Oryzias latipes: one gene and its partner. The protein of the gene in region 2 purifies or fractionates together with the protein of the main gene of each other region. This does not show direct contact. Links are inferred from orthologs where the notes say so. Each region holds a gene or a part of one and is shown on either strand. Other genes may lie near its edges.

The links. Proteins that work in one complex are often made in the same cells at the same time.
Region 1: the proteins of vti1a (region 2) and vamp4 purify together in Homo sapiens (affinity purification with mass spectrometry; 4 studies listed by BioGRID and IntAct, counting the BioPlex papers as one, with this or other methods). This does not show direct contact. The link is inferred for Oryzias latipes from reciprocal best matches to the Homo sapiens genes VTI1A and VAMP4.

The regions. Positions count from the first base shown.
Region 1 is NC_019862.2:3,865,298-3,869,379, reverse strand, and holds the start of vamp4 (vesicle-associated membrane protein 4), read right to left. Parts: upstream 2,899-4,082; 5' UTR 1-2,898. UniProt on the Homo sapiens protein: Involved in the pathway that functions to remove an inhibitor (probably synaptotagmin-4) of calcium-triggered exocytosis during the maturation of secretory granules.
Region 2 is NC_019877.2:9,985,623-9,989,954, reverse strand, and holds the start of vti1a (vesicle transport through interaction with t-SNAREs homolog 1A), read left to right. Parts: upstream 1-1,522; 5' UTR 1,523-1,626; coding exon 1,627-1,720; intron 1,721-4,332. Other genes in the region: palmitoyltransferase ZDHHC6, read right to left, coding at 88-354. UniProt on the Homo sapiens protein: V-SNARE that mediates vesicle transport pathways through interactions with t-SNAREs on the target membrane. These interactions are proposed to mediate aspects of the specificity of vesicle trafficking and to promote fusion of the lipid bilayers.

The sequences.
Region 1 (4,082 bases), on a different chromosome or scaffold from region 2:
GACTTCCAAGCATGCGGAATGGTGTTTGTGGACAAAGACAAATTAAATAAATAGGTCAGTGGAAGTGCGATAGAGTCTGCTGCCGCTTTTATAAAATATGGTTCCAGATCATCAGGACCAGCAGATTTAGTAGGATCAAGGAGTTTAAGGGCTTCTGAGACTTCTGAAGTTGTGAAGAGGGAAAATGAGAAATTATGTATTAAATCTTCGTGATTCACAGGGAGGGAGTACTCAGCTGAATGTTTTATAGAATTAAATAATGATCCAGAGGAAACAAAATGCTCATTAAAACATAAAAGCATCTCTGTCTTGTCTGTTATATTACAAGTGTTTTTCATTATACTTGAAGGGAGCTCAATACCTGAATTATTTTCATTTAGGGACTTAACTATCTTCCAAAACTTTGAGGGATTATTTAAATTTTCTGTAGTATTTTTCAAAAAATGGTCAGATTTCACATTTCGAATTGCAGTAGTGCAAGCATTGCGTAGTTTTCTGAATGCCAGCCAGTCAGATGCATTATCAGAATGTCTAGCTTTTGCCCATGCTACATTCCTTTCATGTAGTTGGTTAGCCAAATCTGAGCTAAACCACGGATTATTACGACCTTTCACTTTATAGTGCCTGATAGGAGCATGTCTATCAAGGATTTTTGTAAATTCATTATGGAAATAACTCCAGGCCCTTTCAACATTATCAATTTCCATCATCGTGTGCCAGTCAAATTCATATAGTTCTTGACAAAAGGATTGTTCACAAAATTGCTTGACATTGCGTTTTATGATAATGTGTGGTTTGGTTTTGGGCATTTTTGTGTTTCTCGATGTAGCAATGATACAGTGATCACTTATATCATTTGCAAATACAGCAGCAGTTGAATACTTTGAAGGAGAATTTGTAAGAATCAAATCAATTAGCGAGGATTTCTCCGGAAATTTGGGGTTAGGTCGAGTAGGATCATTTACTAATTGAAAGAGGTTCAGGGAATCACAGTAAGATTTAAAATCATCAGAAACAGCTTGCAACCAGTTCCAGTTTAAATCTCCAATTATTACAACTTCATTGTATTTTAAGGAAGACAGCAGTTCCATTAAAGAGGGAAGAGCAGAGCCATCAGCAGAGGGCGCTCTATAGCAACCAACTAGGGTAATATGCAGAGAATTAGAGATCTCCAGATCAAGAGCTAAAAGTTCAAATTTCTTTGCCATTGATGTTTGCAGAAGAACTTTTGCATTAAGTTTAGTTTTGATATAGATGGCTATACCTCCCCCCCTTTTGGGACGATCAGCCCTAAAAACATTATAACCATTGATATGTATGTCAAAGTCAGTTATTGATTTGTTTAACCATGTTTCAGAAACAACAATTACATCTGCTTCAGTTGAAATTGCCCAAATGCGTATCATATCCATTTTAGGCAATAAACTCCTTACATTGAGATGAATGAATCCAAGACCATTACGAGATTTGAAGTCTTCAGGAGTACTAAAAGTAGGACTATCTGGTCCAGGGTTTGGTGGAATATTCCCGGAGATTAACAACAATAAGAAGATGAGGCGTCTTTGAAGTTGTGGTTTCTTACATACTGCATTTGAAGGTCCTAGAGATGGGAACGTTTTTAAGAATGCTATAGTAGAGTTTATAGTAAAATTCTTCTGAAGAACCATTACACAGCTGAGGTGCAGCAGTTCATTTGGATTGTCTGAGAGACACACAGATGCGTATGCATTATGACATTCATGAATAAAAGTTTTTGTTCCAGCATGAAATACACAACACACTGGATTCACTGGACGGGAGTCATCTGACTCCCGAAGAGCTACGGCAATGCCAAAGTCTCCGATGGAATATAAGGCCAATGTTAGCAGGAAGAATATTTCAGCCCTTGATATTATTTGCCGGGGGCTTTGAAGGAAGGTATTTAAAACTTTGGCCATGGCAGCCTTCAGTCCAGATATCTGCCAGAATCCAGTTCGGGATACACCGAGAGCCGTTTTTTTTTTTTTTTTTTTTTTTTTTGTTTTGTTTTGTTTTTTGTCAGACGTCCTCCCGTGACGTGCCACACAAACAGCAAGGAACACGGAGCTTGAAAGCTGCGGGCAAAAAGAGCGAAATTACTGCCCAAGCTTAGTTCAACTTTAAATGGGTATAGATCACACGATCCGAGGGTTGAATCAAGCACTTTCCTTCACACAAAGATAGCAAGCTCATCAACCAGCCAAGCGCTCCTGGATCTGCTTCGGATAGGGCATATCACACAGGTGCTAGGAAGGCAGGACGGCATCAGCATCTCAACTTTGGCAAAAATATATACAATAGTGCGCCAGCTTCGATAGAAGGTAAATTGGGACTTCCCTTAATTGATGAAGTATAAGGCCCGTCAAGGTTAGTCACGCCAGGAATCCAGCGACGATCACCCGGTGATAATCTTCATGATGACCGCATACAGTTCATGATCGTCGAAAAAATAAAAAATAAAAATAAAAAAAATAAAAATAAAAAATGGAGCGTTCCTTCGAATATCAGTGAACCAACCCTGGTTTTGGGTCTTAATGAATCGAGTAGGCTTTGACTCACAGAGTTTCGGAGCTAGCCTTTCTAAAAACAAGCACGGTAATTGATAAACAAAATACCATTCTCAGAAAGGCCAGAAACAACTATAAATTATAATCTAAAATAGCTTAAAAGTCGTTAAGAAAAAATAAAAATAAACTCATTCATTCACAGGACGCTAACAGACAGACAGAGTGCGTGCTGCCATCTTGGCGTCTCGACCTGTGCACCAAATAAAAATAGGACGCCCAGACATGGATAACCAGGGGGGTATTCCAGGGAGCATATTAAAACTACCCTGACTTTAATCCTGAACTCTGGCTGAAATCCGCCTGAACTTGCTTACTCTGGGTATGTTGGTTCCAAAAGACCGGATATGAGTTAGCGTAATTACGCTCGACTTGGTAACCCTGGGTTAATGCACGTGCACAGCAAGTACATAAAGACATTCTCAATGGATCACCGATTTCCGGAGTCACCATGGAAACGCGTGGTGAAAAAAAGAGAGCGCTACAATTCAGTGAGACGGAGTCTGAGATTAATGACGGCGTATGAAGATTATAAACCCATCAAAAAAGTAACACGGCTGCATCATCAAAAGAAAAAAGGAAAAAAAAGAGTTTCTGCTTGCAGAAAAATAACGGACAAAGTAAAAGCAATAGTTTCTGATCTTATTTCTATTATTCTTGTGACGCATATATATATATAACTTATCCAACTTAAATGAATTACTTATTACTTTATTCAACCTAATTTCTTACGTCTATCCAACTCAATATTTCTTTTTACAACTCAAATTTACATATTTATCTAACTAAATATCATATTACTCCAGTTTAATTAAATGTTTTTCAATCTTAATTTATTGCAATTCTTGAACTCTCCTATGTCTAAGAGGCTGCAGATTTTCTCATTTTTATAACAATAAAATGAATGAAACAAAATGGAACCACATTATGAAGTCTGTTCTCTGACTTAAATATTCCTCCACTGGGCAGTAAAGGTTCTAAATAAACTCGTGATCCTCTTCCTCCCTCTCCCTCATGGTGCTGAAAGAATTAAACATAACAGGGTAAAATAACTTGGTAAAACACATTAAAACAGCTAAACAACTAAACACATTTTGTCAAAAAACCACACTTGAACCCAAATCCGTCCAGACAGGCAAAGTGAATGGTATCCCACAATCCCTTGCGGTGCCGATCTAACAGCAGCACCAAAGTTACACCTACTTAATTGAATTAATTTGAATGAAAGTAAAATAACTGATAACTACGTGTTATTTTTAAGCTGACTTAAAAATGATTTCTCTTAACTGAAGCACATAATTAAGTTAGATCAAAGTAAAAAAGTTTATCTTTCCAACATCCATATGTGGTCTTATCACCATTTCACTGTGGAAAAAGTATTATCTGAGCTTCTTCATCCACTAAATCATCTTCAAATGGACACGCCATGCTGCTTCACCTCTCTGAAAACAAACTAACCTTCAACTAAACCTGCTCCAGACCAGGTTATGTTCAGAGCAT
Region 2 (4,332 bases):
TTAGTGGATTCGAATGGTTTCATTGTTTTTAGTATCAATATACTGTGAACTCAAACAGTCATCAGTGAAAAGAAGCAAAACTCTTACTGGTTTCCAGCCAAGAGGAATATATCCAGGCCCAACAAACATGGCGTTGAAGTAGTTGTAAAGGATAAGAACAGTCCAGTTTAAGAGCATGAGGAAGTTAATGCTGCCTGCAGTGGTGTCTAGAGGCCAGTACCAGATGACTGAGTCTATGATTGCCATGGTTGAACATATAGCAATGACAGAGAGGGCTATGATTGGGCCCCAGTGGCACAATCTTCGAACCTCATGGAGGTTCTCGAATCGAACTAACGCTGAAAGGAAATTCATATTCGTCCCACTGGAAGCTTAAGAAAATGTTCTTTTTTTTTTTTTTTTGTTGGGGACCTGAAATGTTTGGACTCTGCCTGAGTGTGCTACTTGTTTCTTATATCTTGCAAAGTCAGCAGTGCACACATTTTTATTTTCATCTTTCAAGAATCCAACTACATCCCTGGTCTGTGGTCACCCGGCCTTTCCGTGTCCCGGTGTGTCTTGCCCTTGAAGAGCGCAGCATGCTCCCCTCTCAAATCCTGAAGCACAGGAACCTTGTGAGAGTCCGTTTACCCATCTGATGGAGAGAAAGAGAGAAAAAAAGGGGACAAGCATTTATCATAGAGTGCTAAAAGAAAAGGCTATATTTCCTCTTTATATATGCAAAATAGGTGCTATTTATCTGGAAAACAGGTAGTTGTGGGTCACATATTGACTCCTATCTTTATATAGAAATCTATATATTCTAAAGAACGACATAACTATAATGAAAACACTTTTAATGGTCAAATTAATTACGTTTTATTGTTTTTTAAAAACAGAGATATTGGAAGGGTGAAGCTTTGAATGAAAGAAGAAGAAACTCCATGCACAACTAATTAGCTTGTCAAGTCAAGCTTAGCTAGCAAATTCAAAACAACATTTTAAGCTAATTCCAACAAGTTTCTCTATGTATCAGGAATTCATACATTCATACTAACATCTTGCAAAATTGTAATTAGCTTGGCTGTTTAGATAAACATGTTTCGGCTTAAGAGTAGATGCATGCAGCAGGTAGCGAAGAAGTGAGGTTGGTTAGTTAGCTAGCTCGTTCACCATCTTCCACTACCAGCACTGACAGGAAAACCATTTCAAACTCGAAAAAAGAAAGATGAATCAAACATGACACACGAACGTAAAGCTACGTAGAAATAAACACATTGAATAGTGTTTCAGTAAATAAGCTGTCACTTTAAATTAGTTTAACCTTACCACTTGCACTTCGGATTTTTGTTTTCCTCCCCTATGTGCCCTGAGAACCTTCCTAGTTGCGTCTCGGATTGAAAATCCGTCAACTACAAACAGTCAGATCAAATTTAAAACAAAATGAAAAAATATATGTTTTGTTAAATAACACAACAAAGAGATAGGCGTGATAGTTTTCCGAAACCCTCTCTCAGTAGTAGCGCCAACAGAACACCCAGTTCCTAGCCGGACACCTTTTAGTGTGACTCAAGGAAGAAGCTTGTTATTATTTTGAGCTAACTGTCAGCCCTAGAGCTACTTTGCTACCTAAACGTACTGGTCAAAATGTCTTCAGACTTTGAATCCTACGAGCAGGACTTTGGAACGACTACAGCCGAGTTAACAAATAAAATCGGCAGAATTCCCAAACTAAGTGGAGGTAAGACTTTTACCATTTTAGCGTCAATTAATGATGAGCTGGCAGGCTAGCTAGTAGTAGCAAGAAAGCCTCAGTTCTAGTAGAAGGTGTAGCTTTAATTGTTAACTCTAACTTGTTTGAAATCGTTATAAATATATTATGTTGATACATTTACACGTTTATATTCGCCGTGTGACTCAGTTACTGTGCTCTTTCTGTAGGAACAAAAACAAGTGACCGACTACCTGTGGTTATAATAAATTAATGGTAGAGGCCAGTGTCAAATAGAAACATTATGTCAAATTTATATTATAGATTTTAAGATTATAATTTAAAACCAAAGTTGTTCTTTAGCTTTAAGCAACTGGTTTTAAAGTATTAAAATATTTAAGAAAAATACTTCTAGATTCTACAGATGGCAAGAAACTCCTAACCCATCATAGCTGCTGCCTGTTTTCTGTCAACTTACATAATAGTATTAGAACTGTGATAATCTCTATTCTCTTTTACTATTCTAACATCTTAAACACTTTTAAAATTTAACATCATCAATAATTGTGTACTTAAGCTTCATTTAATTGACTAGAAACATATGTACTTTCCTATTTAAAGTACTCAGTTTAATTTATATCCCAGGGTATTTACTCCACTAATTTGAGAATGGGTTTCAACACTACTAAAAATGTCACTAACATAACAAGAGAGCATATGTGTTCAAATGAAAACAAAAGATCCAAAGTGGAACGTGCATTTTAATAATATTTAGTGGTCTACTACCATCAAATAGTCACCATTTTAGACTTTTACATCCAATGTTTGAAAGCACTTCTATCAATTCTTCTTAAGCCTCTATTTCTTATTTATGCATTTAGTTTTTCTTTCCCAACTATTGCTTAACTTCTGTTAACTTACTGTAGTAAATGAAAACCTTTTCACGATAATTTTGAGGATTTAACTGCAAACCAATACCCTTAGCAAATCAAGTTGTTGTGATATGTCATAAGGTTTTTAATCCCAGTGGGATATGATGCAAAAAGACAATGATTATATTGTACACATGCCTCAGTTAGTTCACATAAAACAATCAAACCATATAGTGTTGGAAGTCTGAACCTAATCATATTATTTACTTAAAAAATATGAACTGCACTGTCATGGTAAGCAATAAAAGAGACACTGTACATATTTATCTCACTTTAAACACTTCTTTGTCACATATGTCCCTGCATATCCATGAAGATGAAGACATTTCTACAGCATATTTTAAATTAGTTGCACATCTTTATTATGTCAAAGCACGAGGAGGACATGTGTTGGTCACAATTTGTGTTTCACAGTAAGACCATATTGTATTTGTCACTTTATTTATGGCACTTTGCTTTGTTTGTATAAGAAAGCATTACTACGGCAGTTATATGGATCACCTCACTGAAACACTTATATTGCAGCCTATACGGAATAATATGCAGTTCATATTGTAACTGTCACAAAATAGTGTGAGCAGATTTCAGATAAGTAGCATATAGTATATTATAAGAATGATTAAGTATGAATGAAGAGTGAATGAATAATGGACAAATTGTTAGCGCTTTGAGCACCAAGAAAAAGCACAGATAAATCTAATGAATTATTATTATTATTATAAAAGACATGAATGAATACAAATTTAAGTCTTTAATTGTAAAAAATCTAACAGAACTAAAAAAAAAACTTAAAAAAATTCACCTGAACATGTGAAACAATGTACTGCTGGTTAAATGCGTAATAGCAATAGACCGGTCAGTTTATTTATATGGCGTCTTACTATGACCGTATAAAACAAGGAGCTATTCATTGAAACTCAACACATTAAAACAACAGTTTAAATGATAACACAATTTAAAAGTTAAATAGTAAAATATTTATAATATTGGAAAATAAAAACACAGTCAAAATAAAACACACCAACAGAGCAGCGTCTAATGGGCAAAAGCCTGGCAATAAAAGTTTTCAGAAGCTTTTTATAAATAGACTGTGAGGACGCTTAGCGAGGCATTCCTCACCTTTGGTGCACAGACTGAAAAAGCCCATTCCTCCTTTAACTTTCTCTTGAACTTTTGTACTCTAATCAGAACCCAGTCAGCTGCCATGAGGCACTGACTGGCATGAAGGGAGAGACAGGCTCAAAGAGGCACGGTTAATTAAAAAAAATTAAATGAAACGGAAGAATCTTAAAGTTAACGTCCAAAATGCACTGGCAGCCAGTGAAGGAAAGCTCCAATTGGGGCGACGTGGTCCCTCTTTAGTGTTCTGGACCACTTAAAGAAGCGGAAGGGACAAGAGGCTGACTCTGAAAGTTACAGTAATCCATTTTAGTTTCTGATGAAAGCATGGATTACTGTCTGAAAGTGTAGTCTTGATAAACAGCGTCACCTTCACCAGCTACCTTAAAGAAAAGAAGCTATACAAAGCGAATTTAGCTATCACGTTTAAAATCACTGTCCGTTTCTGACCTAGATTTGTCCCAGACTTTTAAATGTGAATCAGGAGAATCAGATCTACTGTGGAGGGGTCACACGACTCACTTTAAACTGTCTAAAACAAACTAGGACATAGTTAATTATTTGTTTTTCTAGAAAATCCTATAATTGATA